2 linked regions of the Bombyx mori genome follow. The protein of the gene in region 1 interacts with the protein of each later gene in a pairwise test. Links are inferred from orthologs where the notes say so. Each region holds a gene or a part of one and is shown in the gene's direction. Other genes may lie near its edges.

Region 1 (11,178 bases):
AAAACGAAGCCCGGGACCTTCCAAGGCGAAGAGCCCTCGCGTTCACACCGGTAAGTCTTCCATAAAGTCTCGCTGCTCATCAAAATAACACTTTGATAAGTTTAATATCGGTTTGTGCAGAAACTATGTCCTCAAATATTTGCCAGGGGTGGTTGCTGGTTTGTTAAATATGAATGCTTCAAAACAACAATCATTCATGCTTACTTTGGTAAATTAATATTATTTTAGGCTATTTGGGTTTCATCCATAAGTTAATTGTCTATCTTTGTGTTTTTATTTTTATTTTTTTTTATTGCTTAAATGGGTGGACTAGCTCACAGCCCACCTGGTATTAAGTGGTTAATGGAGCCCATAGACATCTACGACGTAAATGCGCCACCCACCTTGAGATATCAATTCTATGGTCTCAGTATAGTTACAACGGCTGTCCCGCCCTTCAAACCGGAACGCATTACTGCTTCACGGCAGAAATAGGCAGGGTGGTGATACCTATCCGCGTGGACTCACAAGAGGCCCTATCACTAGTAATTACGCAAATTGTAATTTTGCTGGTTTGATTTTTATTACACGATGTTATTCCTTCACCGTGGAAGTCAATCGTGAACATTTGTCCAGTACGTATTTCATTACAACAATTGGTACCCTCCTGCGGGATTCGAACACCGATGCATCGTTCAACACGAATGCACCGGACGTCTTATCCGTTAGGCCACGACGACTTCAACGACGACTATGGTCCAGGGTACTGTTAGTAGTGAGAAGGCCGAACTTTTTAAAAAAAAAGGATTTATTCGAAACTACACAATATTTTTAATGAATAATTAATTATAATAAAAGAATTTAGAAATAGTGAGGAAAATTGGTAAACGTCTCACTTCAATGAATATCTGACCCGAACTGAGCCTGGTATGTTCTCATGAAATCACTGTGAGAGAGCTTATGATGAGTAAGGTGTTTGGTAAGCATTAGTCTATACAGGCTAGGGATATAACAGTACGAATACTTTCCATCCTGCTTAAAGAGGATCTAGTCTAAGTACTAGTATTGATAACTGTATCTCTATCAGTCTATCTATTTGCATGCCTGATATTAATAATAGGATAGAAATTGAGAACAAATCATGCACTATCATCCAGCCCCAATTTAGGATTCCCTGTATTACAGGACTGACATACTTTTAAATATACATATATAGATAATAAACACCCTGACAAACACCAAACAAAATTGTTTATTACAAGTATGTTTGCCCAATGTGGTAATCAAACACATGATTCTCCACGAAAACAGTCAGGCGTTCTAACTTACTGCACCACCAAGTCAACCATGTAATAACACTATTCTATTAAAATTATGCATATGTATGTTCTAATTATTTCCTAGTAAGCATTTTGGTTTTAATTAATATCATTCCCCGAAGAATAAAACTGTATAGTGCTTGTAACATCACATGTACTGTCAGTAACAAACCTGAAATTAAACTTTTTAGCGCTGAGTTTATATTCACATATTTAAAAAAAAGAGAATGTACCTTCTTTTTCTCCAACTTATCCCACTAGTTGGGGTCGGCACAGCTAATTTTTCTCTTCCAGTCTCTTCTATCAACCGTCATTTCAACACTCACTCCTCTCTCTCATCTCGTCATTCACACACTCCATCCATGTCTTCTTCGGTTGTCCTCTTCCCCCTCTACCTTGCACTACCATTTCCATACATCTTCTAGTCACATGCGTGAGTTTCGTCGTTACGCAGCACATGTCCATACCACGCTAACCGTCCGCTCTTTGATTTGTTGATTACCGGGGCTACTATCACACTTCCTCTGCTATACTCATTCCTTATCTTGTCCATTCTTGTCCACTCCACACATCCATCTCAACGTTCGCATCTCTACCGCGTGCACTCCTCTTTCATGCATTACTTTCTTCACCTAACAATATAATATACCTTATCAAAAAAAAAATAACTTAAAAATTTTACAAAAATCATCGTCATCATCATCATTAGCCCATTGTTGTCCACTGCTGGACGTAGGCCTCTCCCAATACGGCATATATTTTTTTTACTGCTTAGATGGGTAGACGAGCTCACAGCCCACCTGGTGCTAAGTGGTTATGGTGATAACGTAAAAGTTAACTCAATTTTGTATGGAGTTGGAACGTTTTCCGCTAGGGGCGCTGTTCCACACAGGTTTACACCGATCTATCCTAATCACTGCAGCACCCAGTCAGTGATATTCTCGTAGCCACGACAGGTGGCGCGCGAGTAAGCTTAAGATAGGCAGCGGCTTAGCTCTGCCCCTGGCATTGCTGACGTCCATGAGCGACGGTGACCACTTACCATCAGGTGGGCCGTATGCTCGTCTGCCTACAAAGGCAATAAAAAAAAAAAGATATGTCTTCATATATCAGTTATAGTCACAGTGGACTGGGTTTCATTAGTAATACAATAAATAAAATGTAGAGCCGCGGGGTCAATGACCGAGCGGCTTCAGTGGGGCGCGGGGTCACTGACCGGTACCGGAGTTATACTCACTTTGACGGAACATCCATTCAACAAATACTAATTAAAGTAAATTTACGGTTTAACCGTTAAAGCGCTTACCGTCGGTATATCGACCCTCTATTAACGCGTATAAAGTGCCGAACATCGAAATATCGACAGTTCGATTACATGTATTAGGTGTAGACCTGTATGCATGTGTCTTAGCGCGGGCACGTTTTATTTTTATTGTATAGATGGGTGGACGAGCTCACAGCCCGTCTGGTGTTAAGTGGTTGCTGGAGCCCACAGACATCTACAACGTAGTTACCGCCACCCACCTTGAGATATAAATTCTAGGATCTCAGTATAGTTACAGCGGCCGCTCTTCCCTTCAGACCGAAACGCATTACTGCTGCACGGCAGAAATAGGCAGGGCGCTGGTACCTACCCGCTCGGACTCAAAAGAGGTCCTACCACCAGTAAAATGTGTATATGTATATGAGGTCACTAGTTTTGCTTAAGAAGCAGTCTTAAAGTAAATTCAAACTCCATTGATGTTTTGCAGGCAAACCGCTGCAGCAGACGGACTGTGAGACGACTCTAGTGGAAGGGATCGCGTTTGACGAGGAGACCCCGCTGGCGCAGTGCATCAGCGCCTACGTGCCCAGGGAGCAGCGGGCGCATCCCAGCCCAGTCAGGACACGTTAGTTGACTTTGTCCAAGCATTCATATTATCCATGGGGCTGGGGCTTGCTGATAGGGAGATAGTTGGGGCCCGGTCTGGTCTACAAGGGTATTTCATGTTGTTAACTTCATTAAATATACCGGCGAGAGGGTGTCTTGCGAATCTGCACCAGTAAGTACCACCACCCTGTCTATTTCTGCGAAGCTTATGCACTGTAAAACTGAAACTTAACCCATGTCCTTGCGTTTAGATTAAGTTGTGACGAAGAAAGAGGATCTAAAGTAAGGTATAAGACAAAGGGAAGATCTTCCTCTGAGCGGGTGATATTTCTCGGTAGACCGACGGTCCGAATGTTATTCTTCGGAACTTGTATATATGCAAGCTTATCTTGAAAATGTCGTAAGCGAGATTCAGGCATTTGTCAAAAATATTGCGTTGTTGTATAATGGCTACCTGCCACACATATCAACTCGGTGACTTTGTCCGCAGCGTCGTCCCCCGCGCGGAGGCCGGCGCAGCCCCGGGGCGCCGCCCCCCGCCGCTGCGGCGCGGACTCCTTCTCGGTGCTCTCGGACGAGATGATCCTGAGCGTGTTCCGCTGGCTGCCCAAGCGCACGCTCGCGCACTGCATGCTCGTCTGTAAGAGGTAATTCACTTGAATTCTCTCTGAGTTCGGACCTATCAGTCTCAGTAACAACTCAGTACGGCTTGGTTTGTGAGTGGGCTAGTGAGTGAGCTGGTTATAATTACGACGGACATCCGTACTAATATCATACGTGTCATCAAAAAAAGATTAGGCTGTATGGTACGATGATACCTTTGCCTTTCCAGTTGGAAAAATAAAACTAATATTACTAAAGTAGACATGTGACAATTAGAACATCAGTAACACCTCCAACGTGCAGTCGGTTATCGATTCACTATAACGTGGGTACGTGTGTTCGGTCCCAGGTGGTACCGAATAGCTTCGGACGAGACGCTGTGGCAGCGGCTGGACCTCGGCAACAAGGCGATAGCTAGAGACGCCCTGGGGAAGATCCTGGACAGGAAGCCGGTCATAGTCAGACTGGCCAGCTCGGAGGTGAGCTGCCTCTAATCGTTCTTCATTAAATTATTATCATTTACAACTAAACACGGAAAATAAAAAAATAATAAATCATACAAGTCTTTATCTGCTATAGACAAATTGATTAAATTTTATCAATTTGTGGTTTCTGAAAATTTACAAAATCCTTCACTAAAATAAAATATAGGATAGGATAGGTAATAAATATGTTACTGCCATCTACAGGAGCAATGAGAAACTAATCGAAGCGAAGCCATCTAGTGGCCGATGCCCGTAAACATTTTTGTTGAGTGTTCGAGTTGCTTATCTAATATGTAACTAATTTGTGTGTATTATCTATGAGTTCACGCACAACCGTCGAAGTGGACACACGAGTGTACGTCCGCGCTTCGCCCGCTACTCGCCGCCATTCCCCTTCGAACTTGGACCCTCTGGATCCTTAGGATCCTCTGGAGTATTCATTACCCGGTGCTCCAACTGGAGAACACAAAAAACTCTATTTTACAGTACAGTACAGCTCGGACACTCCACACGACAAGTTTACAAATATCGAGAACATTCCCGATAGCACCAGTCGTTTCTGCTATTTGACGACAGATGGCGCTACTCGTGCCCCCGCGGCAGCGGCTTGGCTCTGCCCCTGGTATTGCTTAAGTCCATGGGCGACGATTGTAATGTTGTACATTTGGAGGTGTTAAAGAAAAACGTCTTCTTGCGTGTATTCCATGTTTAATTATCATCTTAATCCTAGTTTACAATTATGAAGAAGCCTATGTTTCTGGGTGGTCCGCCTTATTAGGGGGACATACGAGATTACACCTATTAATTATGTTATATACCAAATGATATGCTATGCTATGCTATAATATATAAGTATACACACTTCATGGTAACCGCTCACCATCAGGTGGGCCGTATGCTCGTTTGCCCTATACGGCAATAAATAAATAAAACTTTTTATTTCAGATCGGTTCGTGGTGCTCGGGGTCAACAGCGCCGTCCCGCGTCCAATATTTAGACCTGAGCATGTGCTCGATACAGCTGGAGACTTTGGACCGGCTGCTGGAGAACTGTCCCGGCTTGAAGAAGTTGAGCTTGGAGAGTGTGAACGTTGCTGACACTACCTGCGCTATCCTGGGTGAGTGGCTCCTGGATTGGTCCTGTGCGTATGTAGCGGTAAGAACACAAGATATTTGACAGATGCCTGAATCTCGCTTACGACATTTTCAAGATAAGCTCGCATATATACAAGTTCCGAACAGCAATATTCGGACCGTCGGTCTACCAAGCAAATATCACCCGCTCGGCGGAAGATCTTCCCTTTGTCGTATATCTCTACAGCGTATAGTATTGTTACGTGCTGAGGGTTCGGGATAAATAAAATTTCACCAAAGGACAACTTGAAAAACTGTATTCAACACTTAGAACTCTCAATTCGCTTCTTCCGCTTCGCTTCAGGTGATCCGTTCGCTGTTTCGCTTCGAGTAGTTCCGATTATTGACTGACTGCGTGCCGTCTCTGCAACGCTTTTATAGCCGATACCACATCCCTACAATTATCAAGAATATTCCACACATCTCTAGTAGTTGTAGTTCCCGCTAGGTGACAATAGATGGCGTTGTACTTCTCGAGCGTTCTAGGTCCTTCGATATCCGTTTGACTATTCGGCGATAGATGGCGTTACTATTACCGGCGTAACAGTATAGTATGGTAGGACGTCTTGTGATTAACCACGGGTAATTTGCACGGAAATTACTTTTCTCAAAACTACGGTAGAATATCTTAAGACAGCTTACTGTATAAAATAAAATAATATAAATAAAATAATTTCACTTACAATATACATTAAACAATTAAACAATTTGCTGGGTGATGTCCGCGGTCTACAGCTGTAATAACAAGTTATGTAATTGTGTTTTCAGGTAGATGTACAAATTTGGAGACATTAAACATGACAATGGCACAAGGGATTACCGCAGAAGGGTCGAGAGCGTTACTTGAGGGATGTGTGAAGTGAGTTTTATTTGCTTACATTAATAGATCGGTCTATTAGTCCTTATCCTAGCCAAAAATACCTTGTCTAGTATTTAATCACTAGTGGTGGAAGGTCTTGTGAGAGCAGTAGCTGCCACCACCCCGCCTGTTTCTGCTGTGAAGCAGTAATCCGTTTCGGTTTGAAGGGTGGCACTCCGAGCTCATGTCTCAAGATGGCATCTGCAGGTCCACTCACGATGTGCTGATGCCTACGGGCTCTGATAACTTTTTAGGTAATTTGAATCATGAGCTGATTCATTCATCTATGCCATTAAAACTAAATTATCTTTTAACTAATTTTATATTTTATGGAACGTAACAGGAAACTTTGATTGCAAATTATTACTGGTGGTAGGACCTCTTGGGAGTCCGCACGGGTAGGTACCACCACCCCGCCTATTTCCGCCGTGAAGCAGTAATGCATTTCGGTTCGAAGGGTGGGGTAGCCGTCGTAACTATACTGAGACCTTAGAACTTATATCTCGAGTGGGTGGCGCATTTACGTTGTAGATGTCTATGGGCTCCAGTAACCACTTAACATCAGGTGGGCTGTGAGCTCGTCCATCCATCTAAGCAATAAAAAAAATATAAAAAAATAAAAAAAAATCCTAAAACATTTTCACATTAGTAATATGTATACAAATTATATTGTGAAGCGCTGGGGTTCGGGATGAATAAATGGTCCACCGAAGTACAACTTAAAACTATTTATCACTTAAAACACTCACAGAACACTTCTTCTTCCGCTTCCCTTCGGGTGATCCGTTCTCTGTTTCGCTTCGAGTAGTTCCGATTACTGACTGACTGCGTGCCGTCTCTGCAACGCTTTTATAGCCGATACCGCATCCCTAGAATTTTCCAGAATATTCCACGCATTTCGGGTATTGTGTTTCCGCTATTTGACAATAGATGGCATTGTACGTATTTTTATACTCATTCGACTATTCGGCGATAGATGGCGTTATTCTTACCGGCGTTACAATATTATGTATCTGTTTGGAAAATTCATGACGAGACCCCCTTGGAATTTTCAGCCTACAGTCCTTGAATATATCGTGGTGCAATCTGAGCGAGGCGGCTCTCCAGGTGCTGGTGGACATGTTGCCGCGCCGGCTGCAGCGGCTCAACCTCGGCGGAGCCAGGATTATGACTGATGAGTGTAAGCAATTAATATGATCCGGAGAACCTTTACTGGTGGTAGGAAGTCTTGTGAGTCCGCGCGGGTAGGTACCACCGCCCTCCATTTCTGCCGTGAAGCAGTAATGCGTTTCGGTTTGAAGGGTGAGGCAGCCGTTGTAACTATACTGAGACCTTAGAGCTTATATCTCAAGGTGTGTGGCGCATTTACGTTGTAGATGTCTATGGGCTCCGAAAACCACTCAACACCAGTTGGGCCGTGGGCTCGTCCACCCATCTAAGTATCTTCGAGCTTACCAGAATAGGTAGGGAAAAAACATACGAATGCACCGGACGTTTTTTTTTCATTGCCCTTGTAGGCAGACGAGTATACGGCCCACCTGATGGTGAATAGTTACCGTTGCCCATGGACTTCAGCATAGGCAGAGCCAAGCCGCTGCCTACCGTTAAGTACTCTCCACAAGCTTCGTTTGAAGAAAGATAAGGACGCAGTGGCTTCAGGTAGTATGGATGACCTCAGCTCCGATGGCGGGTGGTGCGATGATAAATACGAGATGATGGAATCGTCTCAAATAATTCCTCTTATCTTTTAGGCCACGACGACTTCAAACTTGTCTATGAAACTCATCAAAATAATTTCTAAGAAGTTTTCGATCCTGTAAGTAATATGGAATAAGCGTTTTCACTCTATATTCTGTGTTCCCCAGTGACGGAGCGGCTGTGCGCGCGCTGCCCGCGCCTGGCCGAGCTGGACCTGTCGGACTGCTCGCGGCTGACCCCCCGCGCGCTGCAGAGTCTGGTGACCCTGGGCAGGCTCGAGCACGCGGCCCTCAGTCGCTGCTACATGCTCTCCGGACATACGCTTTCGTAAGTGTCCATACATATGTCGGAGAGGCCACAACTATTAACACCATCGTCAGACATCGTAGGGGCGAATAGGGTGACCGAGCTAAGAGAAATATTGAGTACACCAATCACGTTTGTTATCTTAGAACAATCTAGAAATCTTCTTTTGACGTTAGCAAACGAAAACGAATGACAGTTCTTAGGACGGAGGCGCCGCTCTTCAAGAATGCTGGTTGGTAAGTGTGATGGCGTCCACTCGCCTCCATCGGCTAGGCTCTGTCGTAGCACGAGGTTAGCCGAGTTCCGACGGCGCTGCCATCTCTCGGGAATCGTGCTGCGTTTCCTTTAGCTACCAAACTAATGACTGTCTCCAACATACTAAAAATATTTTTAGTCGTCGTTTTTAGCGGGTGTAATTCCTCGAATACGGTCTAACCGTGATGATAACACCAAACAATAGATTTTGCACCTTTAATTACCAAGTTAAATGTCGCTTAAACCAAATATCCTTTCACTCCTCAATACTATGTTCAAGTAAACTCTAGATTTATTCGTAAACTAACATTGTTGCAGTAAATTGTCAGCGATGCCTTCTCTGCGATACCTAGAAGTTTGGGGGATGCTGCAAGCTCCAAATCTTAGTTTATTAAAAGCCAATCTACCATCGATCCAGATCAACCACTTCATGTTCAGGTATTTATTAAAGAAAAACCCAAGTTTCCTTAGTGACTGAAATCCGTTGATTTAGTGTTTTTCAAAGTTGTAATAACGTGTAATAACGGTGGTTTATTAACTGTTTAGTATCTATGAAGCCTTGTTCGGATTAGGCGATTAGTTTAGTCGAGCGCCGAGTAATTTAGTGGCTAAACTACTCGCCCGAAAAAATAGAACAAAATGGATTGACTTGACTAAATTATTTACTAACCTTCTCGACTAAATTTTTGGTGCTCAGACACATTTAGCTACTAAATTACTCGGTACTCGACTAAAATGCTCGCCTAGTCCGAACAAGGCTTGAGAGTGCACAAACGTGGGAAAATTAAACAAAACCACTGGACGTAACTTCTCGGGATCCTCCACTGAAAAAGTCTCAGTAAACGACCACCATTTTACTGAGATTATATTTTATCCCAGTTGATTAATGTCTCAAATTAATCACTCTCATTTCATTTCATTTTACTCCATCATTTTTCATAAACCTAAAGGTCTTAGTTGCCAGGTCATAAAATCCATTGAAAAAAACATAATAACATTTTTCTTAAAAAATATATCTTTAGATCGTTATTGTTTCCGTTCTCAGCGCCATAGCGAGGCCCACGGTCGGCACGCGCCGCTCTTCAGTGTGGGGATTAAGAACCAGAGACTGAGTATATTTTATGTATGTATTTTATTTTTATTTAAGTTATAGAAAACCTTACATTATACAAATGTGATCGAATTAAATACATCTTTATTATATTATGTTGTGATTTCATTCTTGTGTCTTTTATTTATAAACACTTTAGCGACTAAAGTAAACACAGCTATCTCTCTCTCTCTTCGATCAGTCCCTCACTGCTGAGGATCGTGACTCCGTCCGATTTCGTCAACCAACTGTCTCCATCGATCCCGCCCTGCAGCCCGGTGGAGTGCGTCGCTGATAGGTATCCCCAGTTCCTCCGCTATTTGGTCCGACCATCGTTTGGGACCTCTACCCCTAGGCCTTTTTCCCTCTATTTTACCGGTCACCACAAGGCGTTCCAAATTGCTGGTATCCCTATGTGCAACATGACCAAAATACCGCAATATTCTTTGTAGGCAGATTGTGGATAATATGTATATAATAATAATAATAATAATAATGGATATAACACAGCTATAGTAGATTAAAATTGAAAGTGCAGCTTACTGAGTAATCTACCAGCGGCTACAGCAGAGCGGCCCAGAAAAATCTTGATATAAAACTATCCTATTACAATATGACTTACTGGGTCCTATCCAGTTGATTATCAAGCCATAACACACATTGACATTGATACAATGGCGTGGAATAGTTAAACCTTCTCTTCCTATGAGTATCACCAAAGTAAGAAACGTATCAGAGAATGGCATACTGCGACAGCAAATTTTTATTTTGCATAATGCATTTTATGGCATTTTAATGGTATGCTCTGCTGGGCTAGGCTCTGCTCCTGGCATTGATGATGCCCATGTGCGACGGTAACCACTCATCATCGGGTGGGACGTATGCTCGGCTGCCTACAAAGCCAATAAAAAATATATTTCTGGGTGGTATTATTTATTTTGGTTTTAAGATATAGAATTAAGCTTTAGGTTTTAAGGACTGCATTTTTTTTTGCGTATATGGTTGACCGAGCTCTCAGCCCTCCTGGTGTTAATTGGTTACTGGCGCCCATAGGACATCTACGACGTAAATGCGCCACCCACCTTGAGATATGAGCTCTAAGGTTTTTCTTTTACAACGGCTGCCCCACCCTTCAAAACAAAACGCATTACTGCTTCACGGTAGAAGTAGGCAGGGTGGTGGTACCTACCCGTGCGGACTCATAAGAGGTCTTACCACCAATAATTACGCAAATTATAATATGCGATTTGGAGCAAAGCGGAAAAAGCGAATTACGAATTGTAAACTGTTCTGTGAGTTTTCTAAGTTAAATAGAGTTTTAATTTGTACTTCGGCAGAATTTTTATTAACCAGAACCCGTGTAACAATACGAAATAAATTTGAGAATAAACCATGAAAGCAATTTTAATGATAACTGTTGCAGTAAACTTTGCACAATTAGATAAATAACGAACACATATAGACCCAAACATTTATTTGTGTTAAGTGGTTACTGGCGCCCATAGACATCTACGATGTAAATGCGCCACCCACCTTGAGATAATAATAAGTTCTAAGGTCTCAAGTATAGTTACAAGTATT
Region 2 (10,498 bases), on another chromosome or scaffold:
TATTTTTTAGACTTTTAGTTTTAGGTTTAGCAAATATGTGAAAGCTATTGTTATAATTATAAGTCGTATCATAAGTGACGGTGTGTACGGGAATAAAAAAACGGCTTTGTGGTAGTTGGAATAAGCCCTTAGACTATTAAAGATAAGGTAGGGAAAATAAAATAAAAATATCGACAGCTTACAAAATAGAACAATAGAATTTAAAAAAAAAAATTTTTTTTTTTTATTGCTTTGATGGGTGCACTCACAGCTTACCTGGTGTTAAGTGGTTACTGGAGCCCATAGACATCCACGACGTAAATGCGCCACCCACCTTGAGATATAAATTCTAAGGTCTCAAATATAGTTACAACGGCTGCCCCACCCTTCAAACCGAAACGCATTACTGCTTCACGGCAAAAATAGGCAGGGCGGTGGAATCTACCCGCGCGGCCTCACAAGAGGTCCTACTACCAGTAAGCTCGGTTGAGTTAGTAGATATTTGACTTATTTGTTCATTGTTGAATGATCAGAATATTAATTCGTTGATGTTTGGATCATAGGTACTCAACGTCCGTATTCAATCCAATTTGAGCGTCCCTCTTTTTATTTAGACGGTCACATTTAAATATCGGTACTGTTTATTGCCGGTTTTTTTTTGTTTTAAATATAACTTGAGTTTTGGATTCGTTTGCCAGTAAGGACTACAATACGTAGGTACCCATGTTGCTAATGCAAAAAATGGTGTACGCAATTCTGGCAAGCCTTCTTTTTTTGAAGCCTTTAGAAGGATTATAGCATGATTTTTAGTTATTTCTATTTTTTACAGCCAAAATAGCTCCGTTCCTCATAAAATACGCACCTCGAAAGAACGAAGAATGACATCAGGATATTCATCTTTGAGCAGAGCCTGGAGGAAGTCCAACGTGATCTCACTCATGTTTACAACCAGCAGATGCCGTGAGGACTAGATAACTGGACTGATGTGGATATAGCGTGCTACGATCTCCATTACAGATCATTGGTGACCATTCTTTGTATATAGCATTGGGATATTCCTACAGTTATAAATTTGTTTGTTCTATTCGAGTCTTATTTAATTTATATATATAAAATGTAGGCTCATTACGTTCGTAGTGGAAAAATATAATAAAATATATAATAAGCTTTTTATATTAATCTTGGCAACCCCGCCAGACATTGCCGATACCATCAGTGGTCATATTGAGTATATAGGATGCACATGAGCGCATACTCTCCTTTTTATGTTTATATTTATACTCACCTGGACATCAGCCTCAATATTCTAAGACGTATTTTTTTTTATGTTCTGTTAAACTGATTTTTGGTAATTATCTCACCAACAAAACGCCAATTAAGTAGTCTACATGATAATTAAGTGTAATGTTCAATGAATAATGTAATGTGTAACAATTGACTAGTGCCAAAAATTGATTTTTTATTTTTTTGTTTTTGTTTGGTGTTACATGATTACCGGATCCCATAGACATCTACAACGTAAATGCCGCCATCTACCTTGAGATATGAGCTCTAAGGTTTCAGTATAGTTACAACGGCTGCCCCTACCTTCAAACCGAAACGCATTGCTGCTTCACGGCAGAAACAGGCAGGGTACCTACCCGTGCGGACTCACAAGAGGTCCTACCATCAGTTAGTAAACTTAAAGTTTATAATAAATATGAAAGAATGGCTACTGCATACAGTCCCACGATCGAACATTCCTTATTGGGGTCTGGTGATTGAATAATGCGCCACAGTTTAACTATAGTTAAGCGCTCGGATATGCCTCGTACATCCCTTGCGTAAACTGTTTAACTAGAGGGGGAATTACGATCGTGAAATGATCAGTTTAAATGCATATGGAAGTGATGCAGAGCCATTTAAGATCTTTCAGATCGTGTCACAGATAAATGTTAGTTTAAACTGATTTGATTGCTAATTCAATTATCGTCTAATTAGGACTACACCGATACTATACCAATTAATTTCTTTCATAGTCGAACACAGTTTTGAATTTTACTTGCTAAATGTAAAACAGTTATAACATCAAAAAAGTATATTTTATCTTTTTACGCGTGTTCCTGGCCTTTATTTCAGTCTAATATATTTTATTGCCAAGATTGGTAGCCGGGCTCACGGTCCACAGGGTTTTAAATGGTTACAGAATCCCGCAGACATCAACCACGTAACTGCCGCCACCTACCATGAGACAAGAGTTTCTGGTCTCAGTTTTTACAGTAGGTACAAGAAGAGTTCGAGGTGTAACGTAGCCCGTAGATTCGCGTTTCTGATCCGGTGGTAGATTCAGCGAAGCCCTGCTCTTGCTACGGTTAGTGTTAGTTATTCTCTCTGGTTGAGCCCGTGAGCTCACCTACCGGTCCGTCAGTTGTTGAAATAGCCCCATAAGCTACCCAAAATTAGGCAGAGGAGAAAAATAAAACATAACCTCAGCGGGTCGCGATTCCAACTCGGTGGGACCAGTTATATTGAGGGACTGCAGTTATAGCTGTGTTTTATAACGTAACTTCAATCGCGAGTGCTTTGTTTGTGATTATTCCGTTGTCTTTTTATCGTCGCACCGCTTGTCACTGGAGTTCACCTATATCTACCACTTCGTTCGTCCCCACTCTACAGTGCATCTCTAAAAGTCTTTTTTGGTACCTACTCGCCATCTGATCTTTGGATTAACTTCCCTCTAAAATACTATCGTGCGATATGATATATCCTTCTTCAGATTAGGGTGGAGGAGATTTTTTATCAGTCCTCCTCTGTCGATAATCCTCATTGCTGAGAATTGTGGCTCGTCTTACAACTTTCTCCTGTATTATCCTGCGCCATTCCTGTCCTGCAACGTTTTTATCAGTAGGCAATGGCTGAGCTGTGCCTCTGGCATTGTGAATTTCCATGAGCGACGGTGACTCGCTATTGAGTCGTATTTGCTTACAAAGCAATTAAAAAACTCTCTTATGGATGTAGGAATTTGTTGAGAGTTCAAGGAATGCTTACAAAAAACCCTTGAATCCACGTCGCATTAATATTGTATTTTTCCCTTTTTGCACTTTCGCAGATGCTAATTAAAGCTAATGCCAAGATAGTTACGCGTAAGGAGCCGAAGAAATCCTAAAAACAGATTATAGGTCTACCAGGATCTGATGGCAAAAAGGGAAAAAAGAAATTGACGCTAGCAATATTGGGGAAATTAGAGTAATTGATAAAAAAAATTCTTATAGCGGCCGATTCTGTGTGATACATGCAAATATAAAAATTTATGCAATGATCAAAGATAATTTTTGAAAATCTTACTGTGGCGAATGTGGGGTTCGAAATTTAGACGAAAACTCCAATTACTCTGTTCATGAATTTAATAATTAATTATAAGCTATCAGAACTTGAAAATGGTTCCAAATACTGCACATCCATAAAAGTCTTAATCGGAAGAGAAAGACGAGGAAGGCGCAGTATTTTTGCCACCTTTCCTCTTTTTACCAGGGGTACTAAATACGCCTCAGTTGCCTTCAGCAACAATTCGTCTTATGGTAGTATTAGAAACACCTGAAATAAACCAAAGTTTAGTATACATAATTAATACACACGAAAAATGCAATAAACCAAAGTATCAAGACATGTCATTCCTACTAACCAGTCAACGCTTGCACATGGCTCAATGTGATCCAATGATTGTGATTGTTCTGCACCTTGTTCATCAAGTATTCTTTGATAAATATTGAAAACTATACTTGCGATCGAAGAGGTTTCTTCGACATTTTCACCACTTTTTAAAGGAAATTTGAAGCCAAACCAAAAACAATTCCTCGAAATTTCACTTTTTTCACAGATGGCATTTTTTTTTGCCATATGAAAATCGCTATTTTTTTCCCTTTTTTTGCCATCAGATTCTGGTAGACCTATAAATAATAATAATATTAATAACTTGACAATGAACGTTCGCCTGGAATTGTAAGAAAATCGTCATTTGAATTTATTGACAACTGACGTTTCTTTTGTGTAGTCTGTGTTTCATTCAAAGAGCACTGAGTAAACTTGAATAAAGTTCCGCTGAAAGATTCAATTGAACTTCAGCTGATATTGTATATTTCAATCGAAACGATTGAAATTCAAACCGTATGGTTAAAAAATTATTCTAACCCTTAGCGCTGTTGAAAATTATTAATTTTATTCGACGTACCTAATTAAAACTACAGTAATGCCCGTGGACCAGATTCAATATTCGGAAAGATATACAGATGACGTCTACGAATACAGGTAAAATATTTTGGTGAATTTCTTTCATGTCTCCTTAATTTAATGGTTAACAGCAACTAAAACACTACATATTTAGTTTGGATAAAACATTGTTTTGAAGAAATTAATTGAACGCCGTATCAGTTGTGTGTAAGTAAATAACATGTGACCGTCTCCTTGTAATCTGGGTGCAATCCTTTTTTAGTAAAATTAAAACGCTGACGTAAAAATTAAGCCGTTGTAAATGTGTAATTATCATAGTTACATTTGATAAATCTGGTTATTCATTATACAAGCGTCACCATCTGTTACGCCACCATCATGTCATAGTAGCCTCGTAATTGTGAAATAATTAATCCACGTTTGTATAAATTATGAAACCCCAAAAAATATTTCCAGGCATGTCATCTTACCACCGGATATAGCCCGCATGGTGCCAAAATCCCATCTTATGACAGAGACAGAGTGGCGAAACCTTGGTGTTCAGCAGAGTCCCGGCTGGCTCCACTTTATGGTGCATAATCCTGAACCCCATGTTCTATTATTTAGAAGACCTAGAACTGATATACCGGCTCCCTTGAATGGCTTAGATACAAATACTAGTTCTGCTGTGAAGGTTTGACTGTTTTTGTTGCATAGGCATATTTTTAGGTGTCATAGCTTAATATTATTTAAATTGCTTATTGAAACTATTATAGTTAAGACAAAACAAAAAAACTTTTCAATTTATTATAAATTAGCAGACATCAATTATTATTATATTACTTTATTTTGTCTCAGTCTAAATTCAAATCGGGGGTTTTAATAAAATTATTCATGACTTTGGATAACACAAAGGCTTGTTTGTGGATAATTCTCTGGAGGAGCTTGGATGAGGCTCATAAGCTCTACACAAAAAGACTAAAGTACATTGAGTTGTTACTTGTTTATTATTGAGAATAAATTTAACCATAGATAGAATTTTAACTTTGACCTCCTAATTAATATTAAGAAATACAAAACTGTGAAGTTAACATATTCATTAGATACCTGTTTATGAAAGAAATATTAACACTAAGTATGTGTTAGGTAATAATTACATTAAAAATGTACCAGTATATAATTTGCGAGTAGGCAATATAATCAGAACTCATTAAACTTTAACAAAAATGCTTGTATCAAATGTTGAATGAATGTAAAACTTAGCACATGCAACTACTAATACTTATAGCAGAATATATTATTTTTATGATAGAATAAAAAGTATTTACATGATTTTTAGTTAAAGAAGAAGATTTGTTTTTAAATAATGTTAAGAGAATACTTGTGTTACATTAAATATAAATTCTATGAAAATAATTACCATTCATCAGCATAGTGTTACTCGGTGTGACTATGTTTTCTGATAAATTATTGTAGACTACATCTAAGTAGTATAAGTTCTTTGTGAACTTAACGGCAACTTATCACATGGGTGGGTGCTCCAAAGTGAGTATGATTTTATTGAATGTAATTCTGTTCTAAAATATTATTCTGCATTAGCTATTACACATTCAGAGATGTAGTTACTAACTCTTGTATAAACCTTATGATTTAAAAACTGACAAAACGGAGGGTTTTTCTTGTTTATTCTGTCTTGTACCTTGAAATATTGACTAAAACAATCCTTCCTTAATATGCCTTATTTTATTTTTAAACATTTATTTTTCTAGTGGAAAATCAATATACTGAAAAATTGTAGTAATAGAAAACTGTTAATGTTAGTTCTGTTTTTACATTCAATGTTAAATAGTAGTAGTTCAAATGATCCCCAAAGAAATAAAACCAAATTTCAATTACCATAACACAAATAGTATTTTATAATGTTCACTTGATTTTTTCCACATAGAATTTACTTTTGTATTTTCATCCGGAACAATCCAAATCTTTCATTATTGTAGTAAATTCATAGTAAAAAAATTCTTCATCAATATTGATGCTGATAATTTTGAGGGCAAACAGTTATAGTTTCTTAGGCTAGTACCACTGTCTTTGTTTTAAATCGAAGACCGTGGTAGGTCCGGTAATATCAGCAGTAATTATTTAAAAAAATATTGTACAGAACATATTTTAATCCAAAACAGAATATATTATGCTGTGGTTTTCGTATCTCGATTTATGAAAAATGACTGAAAATTGCCTAAAAACGAATGTTTTTTGAGAAAATATTCCTCTACCTTTCAGTTGATTACGAAATTGGCTTGGCTGCAAACGCGAAACTAATTAATAATTTTTTCTTAGCATGATACAAAGACTGCAGGAGTCATAGATAGAACATCAAACAGTTATGTTTGAATCTGCGTCTGTTTCATCTAAGGTATTTTCTTTATCTTAAGATCGATGCCTCCTATGAACACTACGCTAACTCCAAATTCGTAGGTTTACAGGAGGAGTGTTTAAACGAAAAAAATTTATAAAATCTTTATTATTGCAGATATATTTATGGTTTACTCTTGCTTCGAACCCCATCAATAATAATTTGTAATACTTTTAAAATAGTGAAGCAATTTGCGTGAAAAACGAAAATTTTAAAATTTTGTGTTAGTGTTCCTTGGAGGCATCGCTTTAAGATAACTCGTGTACTTAAGGCGTACGTGTCCGTATAAATGATAGGAACAGTTATTGTTGTCTTCCTTATTCGAATACTGTGATTGTGCAACACACATACTGTTGTAAGCATCCGTGTTTACAAATAGTATTGGCTTCCTCACAATACAAACGCCATGATTACGGGCGGACGTGTACTGCGGGTAGGATTTAAATCTGTCTACCCTCTCTGTATTTCGTTCATTAAGCCTGTAAAAAAGTTAACTAAATTATTAAAATAAAAAAATGTTAAGTGTTTGTAACGTATTAATTTGCCTTAACAGCTAAATACAGCGTTATAGAAGAGAAATAAGTCTATATCTGAAACTAATTATTATCTACAGACCTTGTTATTGAAACACGATGTATTTTAGATTCAGTTACATAACGTTGCCTTTGCATTTTTAGTTTTCTCTTATTGATTACAAATGTAATTGTATATTGATTTAAGTTTTTATTAATGAATTAAGATGACAGCTGTTGAATAAATTATTAATAAATATGTACGTATTCTTATTTTTTTACCTATTCACGTCCGAGCATTTCAAAATTTTTCATTTTTTCGTTAGCAGCACGTGTCGTCAAACGTCTTTTACGTATCTACTACGGTTGATTGGTTTTGAAGACAGACAAGCTTACGGCTTCCCTGATCTTAAGAGGCTATCGTTAAGATGCTTATCGCTCATGGACATCAACAATATTTAAGTCGCTTATGTCGAAGAATTTCTAACCTCGTTTTCAGAAGGATATGTTATAGCCGTAAAGGGGAGTTTCTTATAGATCCGGGTGTCGGAACGCGCTGTGGACAATGGTTACTGCTGAGTATGGGTGGTGTAATCTGTTGCAGTGATGGACAGTCTTTTGTAGGAAGGATGGTGGAATCCTTTCGAACAATTTCTCAGCGCACTCGCGTGTGGAGCAATCAGGGAGAAGGAAGAGGGATTTATTTAAAAATTAAAACAAAACCTTTACTATGCTGAATGTTTATTTGGGATTTCATTTAACATCTAAAACATCATAAAACACAGTAAAATATAAAAATAAATGCGACAAGTAAAATTTATAGTCGTGGAAACTTTTTTTAATATTGAGAAACAGAAAGAAACCTACATCTAAATGATAATAGAATAAAATTATTAACAATATATTAGTTACTATATATATTTATTAGTAGTTCGCATAAAACAAAAAGTTTTTTTGAAAAATAAAATTGTATTCCCTTAAAATTAAAAAAAGCCGATAGTAAGTTGCCATTACGAAAAACGAATGTAGCGTGACGTCTCGAATGAAAACAACGATAATTTGATATGGATATCGGAAGTCCTTAATTATAAAGTTAGCTTTAACAGGTTTTCACTTAACATTCGTATAAAAGTCATCATTTCGAATATATCTTATCTAAAAAGGATAGGCAGCATCCTAGACACATGTACGCGTGGGATGGGATAATATCATCTCATCCCAAATATATCCTAAACGTGTCGGTGTGCCGTTTCATAGTGAAAAAGGTTGGATAGTATAATCTCTAAGAAGGGTCCTCTATTGTTCTACGATTATCTGGAGAATTAATATTCGATTACTACCAACTCGTTCAAGTGCCAGGCGTATAAAAGCACAGACACTTCGCAGAATGATTGAATTATGGAGTATTTATTCATTGTGATGGAAGCGGGTCAGCTAATTTGCAGATTTGCGTACCGGTTGGAAACTAGCAAGAGTTTAATATCAATGTCGGCTATGCTCTCACTGCTCATTAGCTGTAGGCATTGATTGATCTCCTGACGCAACTGTTGTTACGGTGGACTGAAAGTAGTTTTGCTTTTACGCTCCTCACAACAACACTTGAACGACGATAACTCCGGACGAGTCACTGCCTCCAACAATCATTACAATTTGCATCAAAGCGCACGATTAATATTTTGTTTTAATATCTAACAATAAATCGATAACATACACATGCACGTGGTTACATGTTTTAATTTATTTTTAATATTTATTATTGATAATCATACAATTCGCCTACGAACTACACTACTATAAACCTTCAACGAATCCGAACAGTTACAGCCGCAGAGACAGCTTCGACACGTGACAACCTTTGTGAAGTCCATCTTTAATTTTTTTAATACATTTTTTTTTCTCTAAAACTTAGGCCATTTCGGGTATCGCAACATCTGGCCGTTGTATAAATCATTACAGCTGTAAAGCTTACTAAATATTGTAGAAAAAGTGATACCACAGTACAAAGTTGCATCGATCTGGTAACATCGTTAAAAGCATTTTCGTAAAAATTTTCGTGATTTCGAAACACGCGCCTGTTATTTTCAATACATAGCAAAAATGATATGAGAGTATCCAAACAGTGATATGAATGTATTAATAAAGATTGTAAGTAGGTATAATACTAACAAGATATGTTCTTAAAATATTATTATTTTAGTACCAAAAACATTTCGGTACAATTTTTATTGTTAAAATATATAGAATATAATATATAAATGCTCGTTACATTGTCTTTTTCGTTGGATTGCTGTGTTCTGGCAGCACTGGCGCTAGCTTTAGGGGGGGACAACGAAAATAGTAGAAAATCTGAAAGAGTTGCCACGTCAAATAAAAAATAACAGAAATGGCGGATAGTTCGACTCAATCACGATACGTACTGCAACAATGGCGCGCCCTTATTTATACAATAAGCGTTGCATACGATTATCGTTAATATTTAAAAAAAACAAACAACTGCTGTGAACTAATTTGATTTGGTACATGTTCCATTGAAATTTAACTTTTAATTTTACGGCAGATGATACAAGACACTGATGGGACTACGCAATTTAAAGTTTGTGGTATTTTCAGAAAATATCAAATAGTGATTCATTATAAAAATGTAATCTTAATACGTTTGTTTTCAGTTTTAATTTCCGTAATGCAGTTAAAGAGGCGCACTCTCTATATCCCTTAATTGTTATTAATGTCCTAACTTCTTACGGTATGGTTTTCTTAGTTTAATCAGGAGACTGCCATTTTATGGATTGTATTGTACCAAATCAAGATAAAATCTCGTATTAGTTCCACATAGCTGTCAACTTACAGGCTTCTACTTTTTTGTGATCCCCTGGAAGCCATAAAGCTCAGGTTAGGAAACGCGTGGAATGTTTTATAAAAAGCTTTTGTATAAAAGTTAAGGACAGTCAATGTACAGTGCAATTTGTTAGTGATGAGTCGAAAATTAGTAATCATTAAAAGAAATTGTGACCAACAAGAAATTAATTAAAACGGTATCTCTATAAAGCAACACCATTGTAGAATAAATCTTTGGTTATGCTCAGTGTTGCCAGAACGTTGGGCGCGGTAGTTTGATTGCTTCGAATATAGCAACATTATATTGAAAGCACCGTGCGCGCGTAAGGTTCGCGTCGTTTTCGAGCCGTTCATTCGTTGTTTGCCGGTTTCCCGTTCGTGTACTGCGGTGGCGCGTTGCTCGGCGTGCCGGAGTCCTCGGACATCACCGAGACGAGCTCTTCTACGGCACGGCCCAAGTCATCTGAAAAAGTGTAAACAAATTTAAGCATTATTATGAACAAATTACGAATTATTTTCCCAACTTTTTGGCTGTACTTTTCGTTATGTACAGAATTCCGATGCCTTGTCTTCA

The links.
Region 2: the proteins of S-phase kinase-associated protein 2 (region 1) and cyclin-dependent kinase regulatory subunit interact in a two-hybrid assay, tested with the Drosophila melanogaster proteins (2 studies listed by BioGRID). The link is inferred for Bombyx mori from reciprocal best matches to the Drosophila melanogaster genes Skp2 and Cks85A.

The regions. Positions count from the first base shown.
Region 1 is NC_085117.1:557,855-569,032, reverse strand, and holds part of S-phase kinase-associated protein 2, read left to right. Parts: coding exon 1-50; intron 51-3,049; coding exon 3,050-3,187; intron 3,188-3,658; coding exon 3,659-3,815; intron 3,816-4,120; coding exon 4,121-4,250; intron 4,251-5,201; coding exon 5,202-5,373; intron 5,374-6,157; coding exon 6,158-6,248; intron 6,249-7,303; coding exon 7,304-7,428; intron 7,429-8,113; coding exon 8,114-8,273; intron 8,274-8,825; coding exon 8,826-8,945; intron 8,946-9,552; coding exon 9,553-9,619; 3' UTR 9,620-9,630; exon of another isoform or gene 9,631-9,726; intron 9,727-9,799; 3' UTR 9,800-11,178.
Region 2 is NC_085113.1:13,345,161-13,355,658, forward strand, and holds cyclin-dependent kinase regulatory subunit, read left to right. Parts: upstream 1-4,092; 5' UTR 4,093-4,204; coding exon 4,205-4,263; intron 4,264-4,641; coding exon 4,642-4,864; 3' UTR 4,865-5,219; downstream 5,220-10,498. Other genes in the region: uncharacterized protein LOC101737863, read right to left, coding at 842-919; dystrophin, isoforms A/C/F/G/H, read right to left, coding at 10,275-10,387.